3 linked regions of the Styela clava genome follow. The protein of the gene in region 1 binds, or shares a complex with, the protein of each later gene. Links are inferred from orthologs where the notes say so. Each region holds a gene or a part of one and is shown in the gene's direction. Other genes may lie near its edges.

What was found.
Region 2: outer dynein arm-docking complex subunit 4-like (region 1) and outer dynein arm-docking complex subunit 3-like share a complex: the UniProt entries of both Homo sapiens proteins name them as parts of the outer dynein arm-docking complex. The link is inferred for Styela clava from reciprocal best matches to the Homo sapiens genes ODAD4 and ODAD3.
Region 3: outer dynein arm-docking complex subunit 4-like (region 1) and calaxin-like share a complex: the UniProt entries of both Homo sapiens proteins name them as parts of the outer dynein arm-docking complex. The link is inferred for Styela clava from reciprocal best matches to the Homo sapiens genes ODAD4 and CLXN.

Annotation. Positions count from the first base shown.
Region 1 is NC_135250.1:16,655,515-16,662,497, forward strand, and holds the start of outer dynein arm-docking complex subunit 4-like, read left to right. Parts: upstream 1-3,952; 5' UTR 3,953-3,967; coding exon 3,968-4,141; intron 4,142-4,993; coding exon 4,994-5,125; intron 5,126-5,381; coding exon 5,382-5,535; intron 5,536-5,827; coding exon 5,828-5,924; intron 5,925-6,983. UniProt on the Homo sapiens protein: Component of the outer dynein arm-docking complex (ODA-DC) that mediates outer dynein arms (ODA) binding onto the doublet microtubule. Plays an essential role for the assembly of ODA-DC and for the docking of ODA in ciliary axoneme.
Region 2 is NC_135254.1:24,001,141-24,008,448, forward strand, and holds the start of outer dynein arm-docking complex subunit 3-like, read left to right. Parts: upstream 1-4,267; 5' UTR 4,268-4,416; coding exon 4,417-4,495; intron 4,496-5,253; coding exon 5,254-5,375; intron 5,376-5,568; coding exon 5,569-5,673; intron 5,674-5,969; coding exon 5,970-6,122; intron 6,123-6,800; coding exon 6,801-6,905; intron 6,906-7,237; coding exon 7,238-7,308. UniProt on the Homo sapiens protein: Component of the outer dynein arm-docking complex (ODA-DC) that mediates outer dynein arms (ODA) binding onto the doublet microtubule. Involved in mediating assembly of both ODAs and their axonemal docking complex onto ciliary microtubules.
Region 3 is NC_135260.1:14,792,923-14,798,739, forward strand, and holds calaxin-like, read left to right. Parts: upstream 1-4,294; 5' UTR 4,295-4,373; coding exon 4,374-5,027; 3' UTR 5,028-5,281; downstream 5,282-5,817. Other genes in the region: transcription factor MafK-like, read right to left, coding at 227-352, 1,567-1,671, 2,412-2,450; NFU1 iron-sulfur cluster scaffold homolog, mitochondrial-like, read right to left, coding at 5,516-5,536. UniProt on the Homo sapiens protein: Component of the outer dynein arm-docking complex (ODA-DC) that mediates outer dynein arms (ODA) binding onto the doublet microtubule. Seems to regulate the assembly of both ODAs and their axonemal docking complex onto ciliary microtubules.

The DNA of each region.
Region 1 (6,983 bases):
TATTTAATTCCGAAAATACAGCGCAGGCCACTCGGAACTCCTCGGCCACGGGTTGGACGAACCTGCAATAGATGATATCCACATTGCGCGACGTTCCGGATCTTTTGAAATCAGTGGAATATAACTTAAGATCCATTTCGTTGTCTATATATTATACGTACAGCCAACGGAACAATACGAAATAACCATTTTCAACAGCCAAACAAAACGGAAACGTATAATCCGACTTGCAACTGACAGGAGCCAAATGGACGTTTTTGTTTTATTGCCGTCCAGTAACAAAGTCACGTGACCCGTGCAAGTCCTCTTTTTTTCGCATTGGACAAAAATGATTTGGATTCACATGGAAATTATATCTGCACCTGCAATATTTTTTTATGTTGCTGCTGCTGGCATGACCCTTGACCCCAGAAAAATTCTCCATGTACAGTACTATAAAATTTGGGATGCTTATTTTGCAAGTGTTTTAGAGATTTGACACTTGAAAAACTGATTTAGGCTACATGCTCAAAATCATTATTTTCATTAAAATATACAATCACGTGCCGCCCGCGCGTACTGATAGTTAATTTAGTCTATCGCTGCTTCTCCGAAACTAGTTTTAGATTATTGCTACTAAACTAAAACTCATCGGAAGACAGAACTAAAAGCAAAATACCCCATTTACAACTAATTTTTGGAAACACAACTGAAACTGACAAATAACAGGCAAAACCGCAAAAAACGAGGCAATGTTCACGACCATGCTTGAATATTTGTCTGAGCAAACGAAAGATCTGAGCGTCTGCAAAAATTTACAATTGTTACGTCGACTTTTTTATCATTGTTACGGAAATCAACCCTAGGAGAAACATCCGGTATAACAAAAATAAATGTGCAGGCTTCTAGGAGACTACTCTTTGCAGTTGTTATGACAACACGCCGCCGCATTCTTATCCTGCTCCCATTGTTTTATGACGTTCTGATTTTCTAGGTTGTAAAGTTATTCGTTACTTTTACTGTTTAACACATATAAGGTATTTGTATAAGAGAATGTATGACGAAGAAGGAGAAGATGAACCTAAAAGTTCTTTTCCTACTTACGTAGCGGAAGGAGACAAACTTTATAACGCGGGAGAATTTCAGAAAGCATTGGAGAGTTATACAACGGTATAAACTTCCATTTACAGATTTACTTTATTTTCTTGTTGTCTCAATTTATATTTAATTTATAACAATATATGGCAACAAATTATTCAATAATTTTTATTTATATACCCTAATTTTCGTCAGTATTTAAGTACCGTATATTCTGATATCACGGTATCAGGATATCAGGCGCGGCGGTGTGGCTCAACGGGCTAAGCGTTAGGAATACGCTCGCCACCGCACCTCTAACTACTCTGCTTGGGTTCGCAGGTTCGAATCCCATGCAGGGATGGTTATGTGCGAGAGGATTGCTGGACTCCTCGCCGTCGTTGGGTGGTTCACGTAACCGCTGGTCGGTTACGGCTTCCTCCACCACCAAGTTCATGCTTCCGAAAACAAACAATACAGTAAAACTAATCCCATACCCGACTTGGAATGGTAACCGGACGAGAGGCCGTGGTTCGCCATATGGATAAGCCGTCTTATCGGCTTTCCTCTCCCCCGGGAGAAATATGTAAATATGTAAATCCTCCTGAATGTTTACGCACAACACAAAGTTCTTAAGTTGAAACTTACCAATTTTTATGAACTTTGTTTAATTAGAACATCTGTAATTATTACCCGGAAAGAATCACTGTCTAATCGACCGCTGGCCCTAATGACTGTTGCCATTTGCTCGATATTTCATAGATGTGTTGCATATTGAGAGATTAGTGATTAATATGGATTTTTTTCTTCATCTAATAGAATTCTTAAAAAAAAAACTCTGTAGACTTTTTCGAAAAGTCTGTCACACATGCGTCGGCTGTCACATGTCAGCATTCATCCTTTTTTGCTAAAAACTTGTGAATGCTATGATAATTTTTTTTTGGTGAAACAAATTATTTTTTCCTAGTAATCCAATTACAGAATTATAGCTTTATTAGATTTTCTTTCTTTTAGTTTATTGTGTGGTATTGGTTTGCGTTTGGTGGGGATATGGAGGCGCCAGCTTGTCTTGTAAAGGAGGGGTTTGCATTCATCGTTTTAGTTAATGTCTTTTAATATAGGAGTTATTCTTGGAATCGAAGAACTGTGCTGAGGTAATAAAATCTCGTTCTTCCAATTATCTAACATGGATTGCAGAATCGACGATTTCCCTGTATAACTGAATTAATCTTGCCTTTCACTTTGAAGCTCTTTCTATCATACCTTGATATTAGTCATTAATGTTGAAGCAATGGTATATTCACAGCCAGAATCACAATTTGTTATTTGCAACAGGATTTTCTTCTGCCTGGTTTCATTCAAAACATAGACTTATCCTGAATTTGTTTTTAATTATATCCAATAGTTTCCAAAGAGTATTCAGTTGTCCTTTTCATTAGTAAAGCATTATTCATAGACTGCAATTGACTTCAAAAATACCATTTTTTGAAAATAATTGCAGTGCCAGCTTCCAACATAAAGTACTGATATCCGAATTTGTTTTTTTTTTCACTAAAAACTATCTGATAACTTAAGCCAGCCTATGCTTTTAAAACAATTCCTCTGGAATACCGGTGTTTTAGTTCAATATTGTAATGGGCCAAATTTACCTGAGCTTCTTGCTTTTCGACTGACTCATCTGCTCGTTCTTAGGAAGTAAGTCTTCCTGCTATTTATATATCCCAATACCATGAATCAACAGTTTAAAGAATAATGCTCTGACATCTTGTTAAATTGTTCACAAATTAATTTTTCTATAGAGGCTTGTTTGCCCTAGAAAGTAATCCAACAATGAAGTCAATTATGCCTAGATGTCACTTTTTATTGAAGATAAAATAAAATTATTCACCGGTATGTTATTTTGGTCAAGCATATTAGTTTTTTCATTCAAAGATAAGTTTCTAACACTCATGTTTGGTTAAGTATTTTATCAATTAAAATACCACCTACCCACCAAAGTAAATATATAAAACATGAAAAGCAGACAATTACACTATTTGCTTAGAACTAAAATATTGTCATTTTTGTCTACACTCTCGTAAAACAAGCTCTTCCTTTCTCTTTTTCCTAATGAGAGACTGAAAATGAAGTTTATGGTGCGTTACTAGATACATAGCAACAATTCTTTTTCTGCCCAGAAAATAAAATAACGATTATAAAAAGTTCATGCACTGGGTGTATAAGAATGTATAGAGTCATTACCTCTCAGTGTAATATTTTATAATAAGGCATCACTTGTATTATACATGGTGTAATGCAGTTCAATGTAAGATTAGTTGTGGAGGCAGGATATGATTTATATATAGAGTGTGTGGAAAGAATGGCATAATCATATAATGGTCCACAAATTCATATGGTTACCAGTTTCCGTCAGTCATGAATTTAACCATTTAACAAGCATATTTTATTTTTTTGCTCATATTGAAGGCAGAGTATTGTGTTATACATTCTGTCATAAACTTCTAATTTAAGCATTTTAAATATTTATTCCATACAATTTATTTTTCAATACAAAACTATACCAAACGCAGTTATGCTTGGAGTATGAGCGGTATACTAATGACTTCTGAAGATTTCGTTTATCATTAAAACGGGTTTTCATATTTGGAAGTTGAAAAATGACTTTATCCAGACATAACAGGGCGAATAGAATGCCCATAATCAGAGAATCTGTTATGCAGAGGTACTTTGCTATAAGCTTGCTCCAGCTGTAAAAAGTTATCATAAAGGTTTTACTGTTTATAACAGTGCTCACAGATTTAGCGTTCATCGGGGAATCTGATTTTGAGGTTATTGATTAAAAATTTTGATTCAGTATTCCAAAATTTATGTTATTAAATTCAGGATAACTATCAGCAAAGATTAGTTCATAATGGAAAAGAGTGCAAAGGAAAAAAATAAAGTAGTTAATAAATATGGTGTAGAGATCAAAAAACCAGACAAAAAAACAAAATATGATGAAAAATATGCTGATATGTATTTTAAAAGAGCTGAAAAAAATAGATTGCAACAAAATTTTCACATTGCGTTGGAAGATTTCTGCAAAGTAAGAATTCTTATTAACTTGTAAATTTGCTACGACATTTCATGACATAATCTGTTTTCACCTATAGATTGTCACATTATTGCATATGAGAAGTATATCTCCACCTAAATAGTTGAAATTTTTTTTTTCAATGTTAAAACACAATAACTCACTTTAAACTAATAGAATTTTCAATATATATCAAACAATTCTGAATTTCCCAATCTAGATAATAATTTAATGGTTAGGTAATTGGTTCGAGCTATGTTGTAGTCACAATTTTGTTATGTTGGTTTCAAGCCCCATGTCCGCCATTTCTCAAGATAAATTAGAAGGTTGCTTCGCGGTGACTTATTTTTAGCGAATGTATGGGACGGCATTGGCCAGTACGAAGTGAAGTGAATAAAAGAGGGGAGGGATTCGACTCATTTGTGGCCGATTACAATCAATGGCCAGTGTTGTATACCATAATTGCAATATCTTGCCAAAATATGTAATATATATTATTATGTAATATTTTCTTCAAATTATTATAAAAATATATTTTTAAGACACCATGAATCTATGATGTAAAGTAAGGATGGTGTAGCGGTCTTGTTATAAAAGAGTTTTGTAGTAGTAGTAGTCTAAGAGTGCTTATACTATTTGCTCATATTAATTTTATGCATTATTTTCTGCTCATTGTTTATCACTATAATTGTTCGTTGTGCTTTTTTTTTATCTATCATTCTATATAGATGTTTCAAGTGTCTGCCATAAATGAATATAAAAAAAAAATATGCCTAGATGATTTTTCAACCTTATGGAACCTTTATTACCTATGTCTAATGCTAAAGTATACCAATTGCTTACAGTTTGAGTTTTATTTTTCAGGCCCTGAGTATTCAGCCGACAGACAAGAATTGTCTTGTTGCAAGATCAAAGTGTTATCTCCAGATTGGTAATGCACAAGAAGCATTGAAAGATGCTGAAGCTTCACTTTCAGAAGAGAAAGAATTTCATAAAGTTAGCTGCTTTATATAAAAATGGAACGGCCAATATTTATTAAGATTCTGTGATTTTATGGTTATTATTGGTACCTCACATCGCAAACGTGATAATCCGAGTTCAAACCTTATAATACACTAGAAAAAATGTAGATTACCAAATATATGATCAATTGGAGGAACGCCTACCTAATTGTTGATACCCTTGTCTATGAACGATTTCTTGTAAATGATTTTTCTATTATTTTAAATGATTTTCATATTATCTCATTCAGGGCTTATATCAGAAAGCTGAAGCTCTATACCAAATGGGAGATTTCGAATACGCTCTTGTATTTTACCATAGAGGACATAAATTACGTCCAGAACTTCAAGAATTCAGACTCGGAATTCAAAAAGCGCAGGAAGCAATTGATAATTGTGTAGGAAGTAAGTGTTATAAAATATATTCAGCTTTATTTGAATTTGTATTTACGAAATAATCAAGTAACCTCCATGCCAATTATCTAAATTTCCCAATTCTAAATGTTTCGTCTAGTTATTAGTGCTGTAAAGATGTAGCTCAAGCTTCGATTTGAGTTCTGGTCAGTTCTTTGGTCATCCCAAATTCATCATCGGATCCAGGACATATGAGTTCCCTGAATAGGTTCAAGACAGTATATTCAATGCAACTTCACCCTTTCTGTTTTTATAACTTCTCCTAATTTGTCTAAAAATTCAGGTCCATCCTCTGTTAAACTTGAAAACAAAGGTGATTTATCATTTTTCAATAAGATGGATGAAGGAAAGGGAAAAGCGAAACCCAGGGGAGCTTACAGGTTATTTGCACTGTCTTTATCATTTCTTTACATTTTCAATGGCAGAAACTCTACATGGGTATTCAACAAATATGCACTTTTCTCTTGGTTTGATCTGCCTTGTTCAGATGAAAAAATGTTTTTCCAATTTGGTCAATGGACAATAACTTTATTTCGACATGCAAGAAATCATGAATATTTTAACACAAATTATAATACTTTAGGTTTAGGATACAGGATTTCATTGCAATTGACTGACAGAACTGGTTCTAGATTTAGGTTACTATCTTGTTGATAATAATATTCTCCAACGTCCGGAGACGCTCAAAGTGCTCTGCACTCTAGGTCGATTTCTGTGACAAAGATGACAATTAACTGCACAAGTCATTACTTATTTGTTACATACCGTAATTCAGAAATGTTTATATTATTCTGAAACTGAAAATAATGATTTCATGCATAAGTTTTTTGATACTGAATGATTGCACTTGGTATTTTTTAGTATATCACTCATTCTATAACAATTGAACAAGATTGAACAATTTAAATACTCTATTTGCACTTACAGAATTATCCTAGAATAGCAAACTATTTGAATACAAATAATTTACTAGACCAGTGGTTATGAACCAGGGTGTCGCGGCACATTAGTGTGCCGCGAAAAGATTTTGGTGTGCCGCAAAGAGATTTCATTTTTGAATTTATTTCAAGTGATTCCAATTTCTAATCCCTTGAATTCCACAAGGCTCATGGCTTTTGCTAACAAACAAAAACGACAAATTTGAGGAGTCATATTCCAGGTATTTGGGTATTGTTTCAATTCTAAGTTTTGAATAATGCGCGCCAGCCGCCAACACTGTATCGTAAAATTGAAAATGTCAACCAAGGGAATAAATTATTGTGGGAAATTTTTCCCAAATTGGACCAGGGAATTATTATTTGAGAATTCCCATTATTGCCCATTTATTTAATTATTATTTAAACTCAAAATAACATTCCGGATTCACGCAATGACTTTGCAGGTTTTTTATTCACCAATTAATATGAAAATAAAACAGACACAATAGGAAAGTAAAATTA
Region 2 (7,308 bases), on another chromosome or scaffold:
AAGCTTCGGTTTAAAAAACTTTAGCGTAAGCTAGTATCAATCGTTCATGTTTCACTATGAATAGGTCCAGGAATACTCTCGCTCCCACCGTTGGTGATTGTTTAAAACAGTGTTTCCCAACGTGTCAGTCCGCAGACATTGGCTACAAAGCGCAGCGTTCAGGTACTGGTAAGTTACTGTTGCTGTTTAGGTTCGTTCATGATGTCGTATGATTTTGTGGGAATTGATGGCAAAACATTTCGTTATGGACTTTGTGTCCATATGTTTGAGCATAGCTCTCTTGTTAGTTAGTTCTAAATTTTTCAATTTAACAAAGTCAATGAATTTCGTCGTTTTGCATGTCTCTTTGTACATGTAGTCCTATTTAGTAAACGCTAAACCTAATTTTAGAACTTTTTATTGAAAAATATTTCCAATGGGATGGAACGGGCTTACATATCTATGGGATGGGACAGAAAAATATGTCCCATGGACAAGCCTGCAGATCCAAGCGAAAGAGAACAGGAGTTACATTTAGTGGTATGATTCACACTTTTTGTCAGCCAGTTCCATCACAAAAGTCATATTTTTTAGCCGGTTCTGTTACAAAAAGTCATATTTTTTTGGCAAATAAACTGATTTTTTTTAACTACTCCCTAATTAACAATTCAAAAAAATGGTTGGGTAAACATCATTTTGTCAAAATTTTTGATGATGTTTAGGATTGTCTATAAAAATAAAAATATTGCTGTATAGTGTATATATTTATTTTATATTGATCCATTGACAGTAACCAGTAGTTCTAACCGGTTCGCTGATCACATAAAATTCCGTGAGACGGTGCTATAGAACCGATGCGAACCGGCTTAATCCCACCACTGGTTACATTCAAGTGTATCCCATATTTGGAAATATAAAAAAATATGTAGCATGATGAATGATAATTATCCCAAGTCGATCAAGACTCTTCAGGATAGTCATCTTCACTCTTACTACAGCATCCTTGCACTATATGAACACGGATCCACCGACACAAAAAATTAAAGAAACATAATAGTTAGTCCCTGAGACACCCAATCGATAGCACATGATGATAATTGTTTTAATTCAGCTAATGCTGCTGTATGCTGATGTGCATCGCTCCTCTAAAACATTCACATCTATGCTTTTTATGTAAGGGGGAATACTAATCGGTAATAGATTCCTGGAACAGTATAGGTAATTATTTATTTATTGAATATGGTAGTAAATTGAAACTACTCGCAAATATACTTTCTACTGTTGAATAATCACAGCAAAGCAAAAATTTTCTTATGTGAAGTGATCCATTTTCGGGCCCATTTTCTCGAGAAGAGTGTGAAGTAGGTATGTAAACTTTGCGTTTATATTATTAACCTTTTTGACGCATTTTACTATGCACCACAGTCACTAGTTGCTGTCGTTATTTCTATTTAGAAAAGTGGGTTGTTACGGATAAAGTTTTATGACGAATTTAATTATACATATTTTTTTAAGAATATTGGCGTTTACTGCTTACGTATGGTGGACTTTGTTTGCGAGACACGCATTTATAAAAATCAACCCTGCAGAAACCTCGTCGGCATAATTGTTCATTAGGTTAAAGGCATTCATAGCGTTCTGTGTTCTTATTTCGAACCGTATGCTAGTTCTATTGGGAGTTGCACTTGGCAAACGCCGCAGTGGTTTAAAAACATACCAATACCTTCAAAGAATGTCGTTGCATTATTAGAATGACAGTAAACTTAACAAATTGAGGTTGAAAAAAAACTCGATCTCTGTGCCCGACCTACTGCTGTAACATACTTAAAAGTGAAATAACATTCTAGGCTATTTTTTGTTGTCTTAAATCATCTAGATTTAATACTTTATGTGGGTGTTGTCTGTAATTCTGTACCCAGTCTTATTTTGTATATCTGTATATATATCTTATTCAGGTATATATTCAGTTCTTCTCAGGTTACTCTTTTATACACGAGGATTCTCCAACAACGGCCGGGGGAGTGTGTTTTTACATAAAAGACTATGTTGAATATTTCAAAACAGATGAATATAAGCTTAATCTTGTTGGCTGGAAGGATCTGTGGATAAGTGTCAATCTAAACAATAGCAAACAAGTGATTGTACCGGAAATATATAGACATGCCAAACAAGCTCGCAAAAAATTCCACACATTGCTAAACGAGTCGCTGCACAAAATTATGATAAACAAGAAAACAGCTTTCTTTCTTGGCGACTTTAAAATAAATTTGTGCAAAACTTCTGATTCCTTCGTTTTTGAATACTCAAACATGTTACTGTCTAATTCATTACAAGTGTTCACAACTGCGCCTATACCAGAATCACTGATATCTCTTGCACCTCAATTGATCACATATATATACAGCAACGAAAACGATTTACAGTTGTTGGATTATGCCTTGTGGTATGGTATTTCTGACCATCTTTTCAGTGTGTATACTTCGCAATAAACCATTAAAAAAGAATTCAGAGACAAAATTTGTGCGATCATTGAAATACTTCCACCTTGAATCATTTTTGGAAGACATTGAAAACTCAACAGCTAAATTAAATATTGACTGTTTATTCAAGCTTGATATTGAAAAATCATTCGGTACGCTTCTGGAAACTCTAAAATCGGTTGTTGACAAACATGCCGCACTGAGGAAAAAACACCCAAAGAACTGAGATTTGTCTCGAAACCATGTTTCCCAATAGATATCAAGAAATTAATCTCGACTCATAAACGTTTTGTATAAATGTCATTTTTTGTCGACAGACAAATCAAAAATAAGGTATCACAAAAGATACTTCAACATTCTCTCACACATCAAGAAAAAGGCTTAAACGAAATTTTACAAAGCAGAATTTAAAGAACTATAGAGGGCGACAAAAAGAAGACTTGGAGTCTCATTAACACAATCACCAATAAGAAACGTAAACGAAATTTTCCACACGAAATTGAGACAACTCATAGAATCATATACAACCCCCAGTCCATATGCCAAGAATTTAACACTTACTTTGTAAATTTTGGACCTAATCTTGCATCGAAGCTAGCAAATAATTCTATAAATTTTATGAAGTATTTGGGCAAACCTCAGAAAAATTTAATCTATCTGGAGCCTATACTAGAATATGAAATTATTTCCATCGTTAACAAAAAGGATTAAAGAAAGGCTTTTGAACGGACGGTCTGTCTATTCGTTTTCTATAACTTATGATTCGTATCATTAGCAAGGACCTTACAGATTTCTTTAAAGAAGGGTCGCCTAACCCGTGGCCAGCGGAAGCATTTTGAGTGGCCCGCGCCGTATTTTTCAGAATTGGATAAAAAAATTGGAGTAAATCTATTTTTTGAGTGATGTAGTATACAAAGATGTGATACAAACGATTTGTATATTTTCCTGAAATGCGCTCTGCCAGCCCTTGCAAACGAGACATTAGGGTCATTTCGAATCGAAACCAACTTGGAGGAAATATCGATAAATAAAGGTGCCATAGCCGCTTACACACTTGGTCTTTAACTACTCTATATGATGTTATCGCAAAACAATAGAAGCCATTCTCAGATTGAGAATTCGCTAATGAATGTATATTATATATTGTTCGGGTTGCCAATGTTTTACGTCCGGAAATAAAAGAGGTGTTTGCAAAAATAGCCTGTCAAGACAGACCATAACTCGTCATGTCAAAGAACTTGAGAAGTCTAACAGCGGAGACTTCAATTGCAAAGGCGGGAAAATTTTCATCGTATTCCTTGGCGCTTGACGAAAGCACTGGCATCATGTAGTCATCAATGCTGGCATCAAGGTTACTGCTCAGTTGGCGATCTTCTTACGGGGAGTTAATAATGATTTCGAAATTACCGCAGAGCTTGCAGCAATAGTCCTTACTAAGGGCACGACCTGCGGCATTATTGTTCCAATCTTTATGAAACTACGCAACGAGAAACCATAATGAAATGCCAATAACAGAGGTTAAACATCCTACTCGCGAATGCGCGATGAAGTCCTGGAAGGAATTCTCAGTTCCCCGTCATCAAAGGTCCTTTCTGAACTGCGGACGATTTTCGTTAAATGTATTTTTTGAAATTAATAAGTAGAAAACTAAGTCGACTCTATGTAAATAGTAAGCGTCAAAATTTTAAAAAAATATATAAAATGAAATTCATCAAAAATAATTTCTGTGATAACCCACCTTTAACACCTTCTTTTCATATTGACTCCGGTAAGCACTTCTCACTGATGTTTGAGCAAAGTTGTTGCTACCGGCAACGTTTCGTGTTCATTCTCTAAACCGGCACGATTCTGGTTTACGTGATCTGCGCGGTTAGTTGTTTGGAGGTATATTTGTGACTTCAAAGTTATACTTTTATTTCATCGCTGTACCGATATAATACAGCGCCTCAACAGCAATATGAGAGGTCAGTCAGGAATGCATAAACCTCCAATTCAAGAACAAATATCGGAAATCACCAAAAAAATTTCGCTTTTGGGTAAGTTAGTAATTTTTAATTACCGCAGTCCAGAATGGTGTATGTCTGTATCATGGTGTTTTGCGGTATCAAACCCTACACACTGACACATTATTATAATTATTTGTAGCCTATATGTTATTTTCACTCAATGATATACTTTATTTTCACTTAAATTCTGGTAAGTTAGATCAATTGTCAGAATGTTGAATGAACTCATTACAAGTCTCAGTGATCATCACTGCATTTATATATTTGTCATCAGAATATTTTAGTATTATTGTTTTTTATTATCTCTTTTAATCCAAATATCAGTAGGACACAGTTCTCCGATTCCAAGGATAGTCCCCATATTAAAAGACATCAATTATAACAGTGAATGCAACCCATTTCTTCTTGAGACAGTCTGGGCCTCCATACTGACGAAAAACCGGCACTGCACAACAAACTAAAAGACAGCGCAATCCAAAAATGCCTCATATTTTCGTTTTATTGAAAAAAATTTTACCATAGCTTTCGAGAGTTTTTAGCTAAAAACGCCATGATAAATTTAAATTATTGAAACAAGCATGGCCCTTGTCGCCCTTGTTTCAGAGATAAATTGTGTGTTTGTTTTATTGAACCAAATATTAAGACATCTTGGAATCAGAGAACTGTGCTCTATTGAATTTAGTGTGATTTCACTACTGGGTTTGATTTTAACCTCATTTTAAACTTTAGTTTGTCAAAAGATCAAATTTTCTCACTGATCAGTCAACTCATAATTTATATTTTTATAGAGGGTGATCGTAAAGCTTATTATGAAAGTTCACAATGGTCAATCAAGAAGAACAGAGAGATTATCGCGAGAATGAGACAAGAGAATAAAACATTGCACAAGACATTAGCAGATCTGCTTGCGGTAAGTAGCCTATTCTGTGTGAGAATTAAGAATATTTTGTGAATTCTCTGTATCCTCTAGCTAGCATTGTTTACATTTTTAGAAAACAACCTCCAAAGTTTTCAAACTTCACAATCTGTGCAATTTGGCTCATGTTTTTTCAATTACATTCGTGTTTTTTAAATTTGTTGAACATGCTTTTTGATTTGTTCAGGGAGATGATAAAGTTATAGATGAAGCATTTGAAGGTAGACATGTGGAACGAGCAGCATTGCGTAACAAGTCTGGAAAAACTGCTATCATGATTATAGATCAAAAGGTTATTTTATTTATTTTTCAATTTTGACAATATACTTTTATACAACTTCAATATAAAGGTGTTCTTTGGTGAGATTTGTGAAGTGCCTTTCTAGCATGTGACTACTTTGTATCCAAGTCATTCTACAATAAGTTAAACCTGCTATGAGTTGGAATTGACCTAAAATTAAAAGTATTACCAGAAAATTAATTTGAATCTAGTAAAATATTGTATTGTAATATTGTAATCTAAAATTTATCAATTCATGTGTAATTTTATTTGTATTATTGCTCCTAACCTTGTAAAATTATGCCCAGGTTTGTGACAGTAAGAAGAGATTGAATGCTTTGAAATCGACGAGTGAAGCAAGAAAAAGAAAATTGAATGAACTTCAAACCCAACATGATCAGATGGTGAAGGACAAATCAGCTGCTGAAGAGTTAGATAAAGGAGAGAGTGAATCAGCTCAGGTAAATATGATTTTTTTTCATGCGTAAAATAGTTCAATTTTCTTTTGTGATTAGAAATTTGTTTTATTTAACTTAAGGAAAATAATCAATGATAGCATCTTTATTATTTCACACAGCCTTCACACATCATTTCCAATCCTGCAAACAATGCCCAATACAGAGATATTGTGAAATTTGATACTGGTCGATATTTCCTACAGATAATGAGAACATTTTTATGTCAAAATACAATTTGACTTTTCAGTAATAATCTGGTATAGAATTTGAATTGTTAAATCATCGATCAATCCATCTATGAATATTCAATTTTATTCTTGTTATGATTCGTCTGAATTCAAGTTTTAGCAAAACTTAGTCATGCTCACTGTACGACATGAGGTGTACATGCATCATTTTGCTAAATTGTTATTATTGGGAAAATTGTCTTTCACCGCAACAAGGGGATCAATCTCAAATCAATTTCAAATCTTCAGTATTTAAAGATGAAAATAGATGCTAGATGATAATTACTTATATATTGTTTTAATTTTCCATGAGTCATATTGGCCCCCATATTTACCCAAATTTATTTTTTATTTTTTAATTTATGGAAACGCTTTTTACGAAGTATGGAAACACTGGTATATGACCCTTGTGTCAACATATTTGAGAATTGTTTTTATGTTTACATTACAATAGCATTTAAGACAACTGGAAAATCGTTTGGATAAAGCAAGATTAAAAAGTCAGGAAGCAGATCACATCAGTAAAGTTTATGAAAAAATCAAAGCCCATTTACAACAGGTGCGTAAGTCAGTAGAACCTATTCGTGATAAACAGCCGGTTGGAAACTCATTTGCAATAAACAATGTTACACAGTACAATTGCAAAACAGTGATTGCAAGGATCATTTTAGGTAGTTTCATCATTTTATTGTGAGAGAATTATCTTGAAATTCAATTAAATGAAAATTGTTCATTTATTCATTATTCCTATAAAAGCATATGCGAAAGCAAAGGAGTATTAAAATATCAATTATTCAAAACAAAATATTTGTGTCGAACAGATGACAATGGAATTGTTTCTATCACACACATAAGAAGGAACTTGTCTATAAACTGTGTTTATTTTAACAGGAGAGTCTGACTTTCCATAATCAATTAGATGCTCAGGAAGCAGATATATTAAAAACAAGACATGAATTAAA
Region 3 (5,817 bases), on another chromosome or scaffold:
AGAATCGGCGTATCGGTATCGGCGTTTTTAGCTGGTATCGGATCGGTATCGGTGACAAAAGTGGTATCGGTACATCTCTACTTGCAAATCGAGTCAAATTGACGTTTTTTCTGCAAAATTTACTATTGATACAGTAAAGTAGTACCGGTGGTTGAATATTCAATATATTTTGACATTTAAGTTATATATATATATATTAATCTGGATAATCATTATTCGCGCCAACCTCTTTTTGCAGCTTCTGTCTTTGTAAATCCAGTTCATCTTTCTGTGTTAATCGTTTGATACGGCATGATGCTGCATAACCACGATTCTTCAATGTTCGCCTTCTCTGTTTTAATCTCCTACTTTCCTATGAAAAAATATTTTGATATATATTTTCAATTTGCATCATAAGAAATCCATTTAGCATATCACTGACACTGCCCTACTTCAGGTAACACATTCCTAAACATTAAGGTGGACCAAGTTTCCACATCAGAAGCAAACCTTCAAAATTTCCAATATGAAATGTAGATGACTGATAAATAAACAGTTGGGTCCACAAATTTTTTAAAATCTATGTTCTAAAAAAAATGATCATTGAAGTCTATCAAGATCAGCAATATTCGGAGTGATAGGCTATGTTCCAATACGCAGCATATACGGTTACAAGAGTAAGCCTTGTGGTAAGCTGTTTATTATATACAGTGCTTTATAATGAATATTGAACGTATAGAACAGTGGTTCTCAAACTTTTTTTGCTCACGGCACACCCAGCAAATAAGAAAAATCTCGCGGCACACTTGTGAAAAATTTGAGCTAGACTTGGACAAATTATTCTACAAATGTTAATGCGATGTGTGTGCCTGTTTTGAGAAACGACTCAAACGAGGGTCCGTCGCTCCCTTTTTTGCTTTTGATTACAGCCAGAGCAGAAAATACAGATTAATAGAGCCATGTAGATGCAAATGGATAGATTATTTTGATGGATTTTGCACCGATGATTGAATAGAATTTGTTAGCAGATAGCCAAAACTCAACCAAACTGGCTTTCCTGTTAGCCTAACTCAGGGGTCTGCAAACTTCGTACTCGCTTGACAGATCGTCATTTGAACGGGAAATGTGTATATTCGGCCCGCAGGTACACAAATTTTGCCGACCACTGGCCTAACTCAACGCTCAATTGAACATAGTGGAAGGTGGATATCATTTTTACAAAAAACATTATCACATCACAACGCAAGTATACTGGAACAATACCCCTTACTACAAGACAAGGCAAATGCAATAATATTATCAGTCTAATTAATTATGGATTATCAAATCTCATAAGTTGCGTGCATGTCTATGTGTAATACAAACAGCTTATTTTCTAGAATTCCAAAAAGCTCCGCGGCACACTTGAGAATCTCTCATGGCACACTAGTGTGCCGCACACAGTTTGAGAAACACTGGTATAGAAACTACTAAATTTCTATTCTTTATATATTTTCCTAACATAACAGGTCTACTTGCTGTATTTTTGTCCATACGTTTCTCTTTTTAAAATCTGTTTTGCTATAATGAAGTATGATTTTATACTACCTCTGGTGTCAGGTTTCGTAAACTTCTGTTAAGATCTCTCACACTCATGTTAAGCAATTCATCATCTGTAAATTGATGTCCTTGTCCAATATTCTCCATCTTGACCTTAAGTTATAGTCAAGTGAGATATACATCAGTACAAACAAAATTAACAGTGACAGTTGAATTAAAGGGTTTCTTTGTCACATATAAATACAAATGTGCCATTCTGAACTGGGAACATAATAGGTTATTAAATGTGCAACTCGTTATTTAAGTTATTTATAGTTTTATTTCAATCTTTCGTCTACAACACAGAATACAAATAAAAAAATAAATAAAGAACACAGACAATGAAGACGGAAAGATCGTGAAAATGGGCAAAACCTAGAGTAATATTTGTAGCCTATTGTTTGTTTGTTTGTGCTTATTCACCCAGACTCAAACAATTGGAAAAAACACATCACAACAATCGTACTTCGTACTTAAAAAGAATGAATTCATAAATAGCATACCATGTTTTTTTAGGACAAGGTCTTATACCAATTTTTTTTCAAATAATAACACTAGGGATTATTTTGGGGGATGGATTTTATTTTCATTTATCAAAAAAACAAAATTACAAAGTACAGAAGTAGACAATTACAAGATTTTTGAATAAATAAAATATGAAAACCGATATCTATTGAACTAAGCTCAGTTTTGTAGTTCGACTGCTGACTAACCGTATTGCAGTACTGAATAAGGTACCGTACAAGAATAGAACACTTTGAGACTAAAAGAGTCTGAAATCTTAGTACTGTAGTACCAGTAGTCTAAAAACACAGAAATATAGCCTAGGTTACTTAGATAGACAGCAAACTTACCTCTGAATTTTTCACAGGCACGTTCTCAGAATCTTCCATCACCTCACACAATGTTTTTTCTCTGACAAAGCTCAAGAATACTGAAACAAGCAGTGTACCCAGATAACAGTTTTAGCACACAGCGAAGGAACTAGAACAGCACAACGTCAAGCGAAAACGAAACTGTGAGTAAATTGCTCTGCAGTGCCACCACGAGTGAGAACATGAACATCAGAATATGGCTTGAAATAAAATGGTAAATTTGCAGAGATTTTATTTCCCCAAATATGGTATGGTATGCACACGGTATGTTAGTCGTTGTTTGCATGACAAAATAATCAGCACATGGGCAATACGTGAATAATAATAACAAAGACTTCAGAAAGAAAACCAAATCAGGAATGAATATAGAATAGATGTAGCATATAATGAAATAGGGACGTCAATTTCGAACGTGACCGAACAAGTCATGAAAACTCCTACATAAATTTGAAATTTTGCTTATACAAAAGTTACTAATGACTACCGACGATATAACAATCATTGTTATATTAAATGTGAAAAAATGGGATGGATTTCAATAAAAAAAATTAATGGTCATTGCATTTAGTTTTGGTAAAATTAGTTTCGATGAAAACCCCCTAACAAGGAATTTCTGCTTATGGCCATGTGATGTACTTATACATAAAGATACTTATATTGAATAACCGAAAAAGTATTTTTTCATAGTTTTGAAATAAATATTTCAACCCTAGTGCCCCAAGATATCGCACACTAACGCTTGGCTTGTACTGTTTTTGTTGGTTGATCATATTTACGGTTGATCTACATCTCAAGTTTTTTCTCAATATCTCACGAGTGCCACCTAGTGATTACATGGTTTCCTTGGATACGAGCATCGCCGCGTTCTTGCTTTCCAGCATTGCTGTGTAGTAAGTAGTCTAAGTTTATCGACTACGTTATACGTCTGTACATATTTTGTTCCGAAAATGCCAATGGAATGGCTGTTACTATTTGTTGGTTTAACATTTCGTGATCACCTACTATATTAAAGAATGATAAAACTGTGTTAGAGGCTGTCAGCAATAGAGATGTTCTTGACATTATCTTCATAACAGTTAACGTTAACCTATAATCTGCTCGCACGCGGAACTGCCCAATGCTTTGTATGTTGTTGAACATATAGCAATTCAGAATCTGCTTTATAATTACCATCTGAATAGTACAGTCAATAACTGGCACTGCCTTCACAGTTGTCCACCCCTGTTTTGTAGTTAACTATGAAACGTGCATTTTGGCAGCTGTTCTCCTGACAAGAAAGCTCCATTAAAAACTGGATTGTGAAAGTCGCCTTTTTGGTCTTTATGTTTTTCCAGTCAACGTATATCATGACTGGGCAAATTATTTATTACAAAATCTATTGGTACCACATAAGGAGTTGTGATTTTGACTTTCAGTGCATTGGGAGTTTTTTAAAAATAATAATATAGTCTAGGCCTACAAGTATATGTTGACTTATTTATTGATATTTGTTTACCATAGTATCAGCCTCAACTATCCTACAATTCCACATGTACTGTTAAAAACAACTCACAAGGTGACTAAAAATCACAACTCAAACCAACCATTGTGGCCGGAAAAATCAGCGGTGCGAAATATCTGTATACCTCCATACCATCTCCCAACAACATATGTTCAAGTGTTCTGTGACTCTAGACCTAAGTAGGTATGAATGATCAAAATTATTGTTCATAATCATCATAGATCTACCAAAAATCAACCACCGCTTCAATATTACAGCAATTTCGTTGACTTCCATTCTAAAGCTTTCATGCTCCTGATAGTTTTTGTAAAAAAAAAATGGAAGATAGGAAAAGGTCAAAAATCTTACTTTGAAACGAAACTATGTCCTGTTCTTTTACAGAGTCATTAGTATGAAAATGAAGTAGAAATTTAAAGTTAAGATATTGTGTATTTGACATAATGTATATCATGAATGGACTTAATAGGAAAAATCTACAAAAAGATGCAGATGATATCTGCAAAGGTGCACCAACACTTCACTTCAATAGAAGAGAAGTCCAAGCCTTGCTTGTGTTGTTCAAAGGTTTCAACAACAAAGGCGAAAAACTTGATCGAAACCAATTTCGAGATTTTTTGCAAGTTTGGTTCAGTATGACAGAAGATCTACTTATGGATCGTGTTTTTCGAGCATTTGACACAGACAGTGACTCTTACATCAACACAAAAGAATGGGTTGAAGGTTTATCTGTTTTCATGAGAGGAACACTTGATGAAAAAATTGATTATACTTTCAAAGTGTATGATCTTAATGGCGATAGTTACATATCGCGTGAGGAAATGTTCCAAATGCTGAAAAATTCTTTAGTAAAGCAACCGACCGAAGAAGATCCAGATGAAGGCGTAAAAGACTTGGTTGAAACAGCATTGAAGAAAATGGATTTTGATCATGACAGTCGTCTTTCATTCGCAGATTTCAAACAAGCAGTTGTAGCAGAAGAACTCCTATTGGAAGCTTTCGGACCCTGTCTACCAGACGAGAAAAGCTTAGAAGTATATGAAGCTAAACTAGCAGATGTTGCAATGGATTTTACAGATTTCTCCTCCAAAAACTAAGTACATTTTAAGCAGATTTAAATTTTTACCAAAGTATGACTAACCATTGAAAAAATTTTCTGAACTTAAATAACTGCACAAGATTCCGCATAAAAGTATTTGGCAATATATGACGAGGTACTAGTACAATTCAGGCCTGATGAGCACATTACTAGCTTAATATGTTATAGCAGTCACTAATAAAACCTTTCCATTCTATACATTATTAGCAAGGCCAAGTTGGTTTTTCCTAACCAATTGCCTGCATATACCATTTACTCCGAATAAAAGAAGTCTATTGTTTTAAATATATGTGTTTATTTATTGCGATAGTATATGTAAATAAAATTATAGGTGATATTTAACTTGAACATTTATATAACTGTAAAATTGGCAGCTGTAGAAGCAGCCAGTATTTTCATTTGTTCTCTCCATCACATTTTCTTTGGCAACGCGGTAAATGAACTATCAACTCATATCGAAAAGCAAGACAAACCTTGGAACTAATATCATGTGGGAGTGGAAGTTATCTGAAAAAAAAATATTGATCTTAACATTTTGTAAATGTGTAGCGCAAAGTATTTCAATGAATTTTCTTAATAAACTTGTTGCACAAATTATAAAAAATCAATGATCTGTGAATTTTCAATTCTGAAAGAGCAGTGTAAATATTTCTAACAATCTGTTGCTTTCAGTATAGTGATGCTTGACACGTCGATATTACAGAGGGTCGGAAGTCACTATGCCAAACTAGTCAAAATCATTGTTTGGGGGGCAGTTAACTCAAAAAGAATTATCTGCTGAACATTCT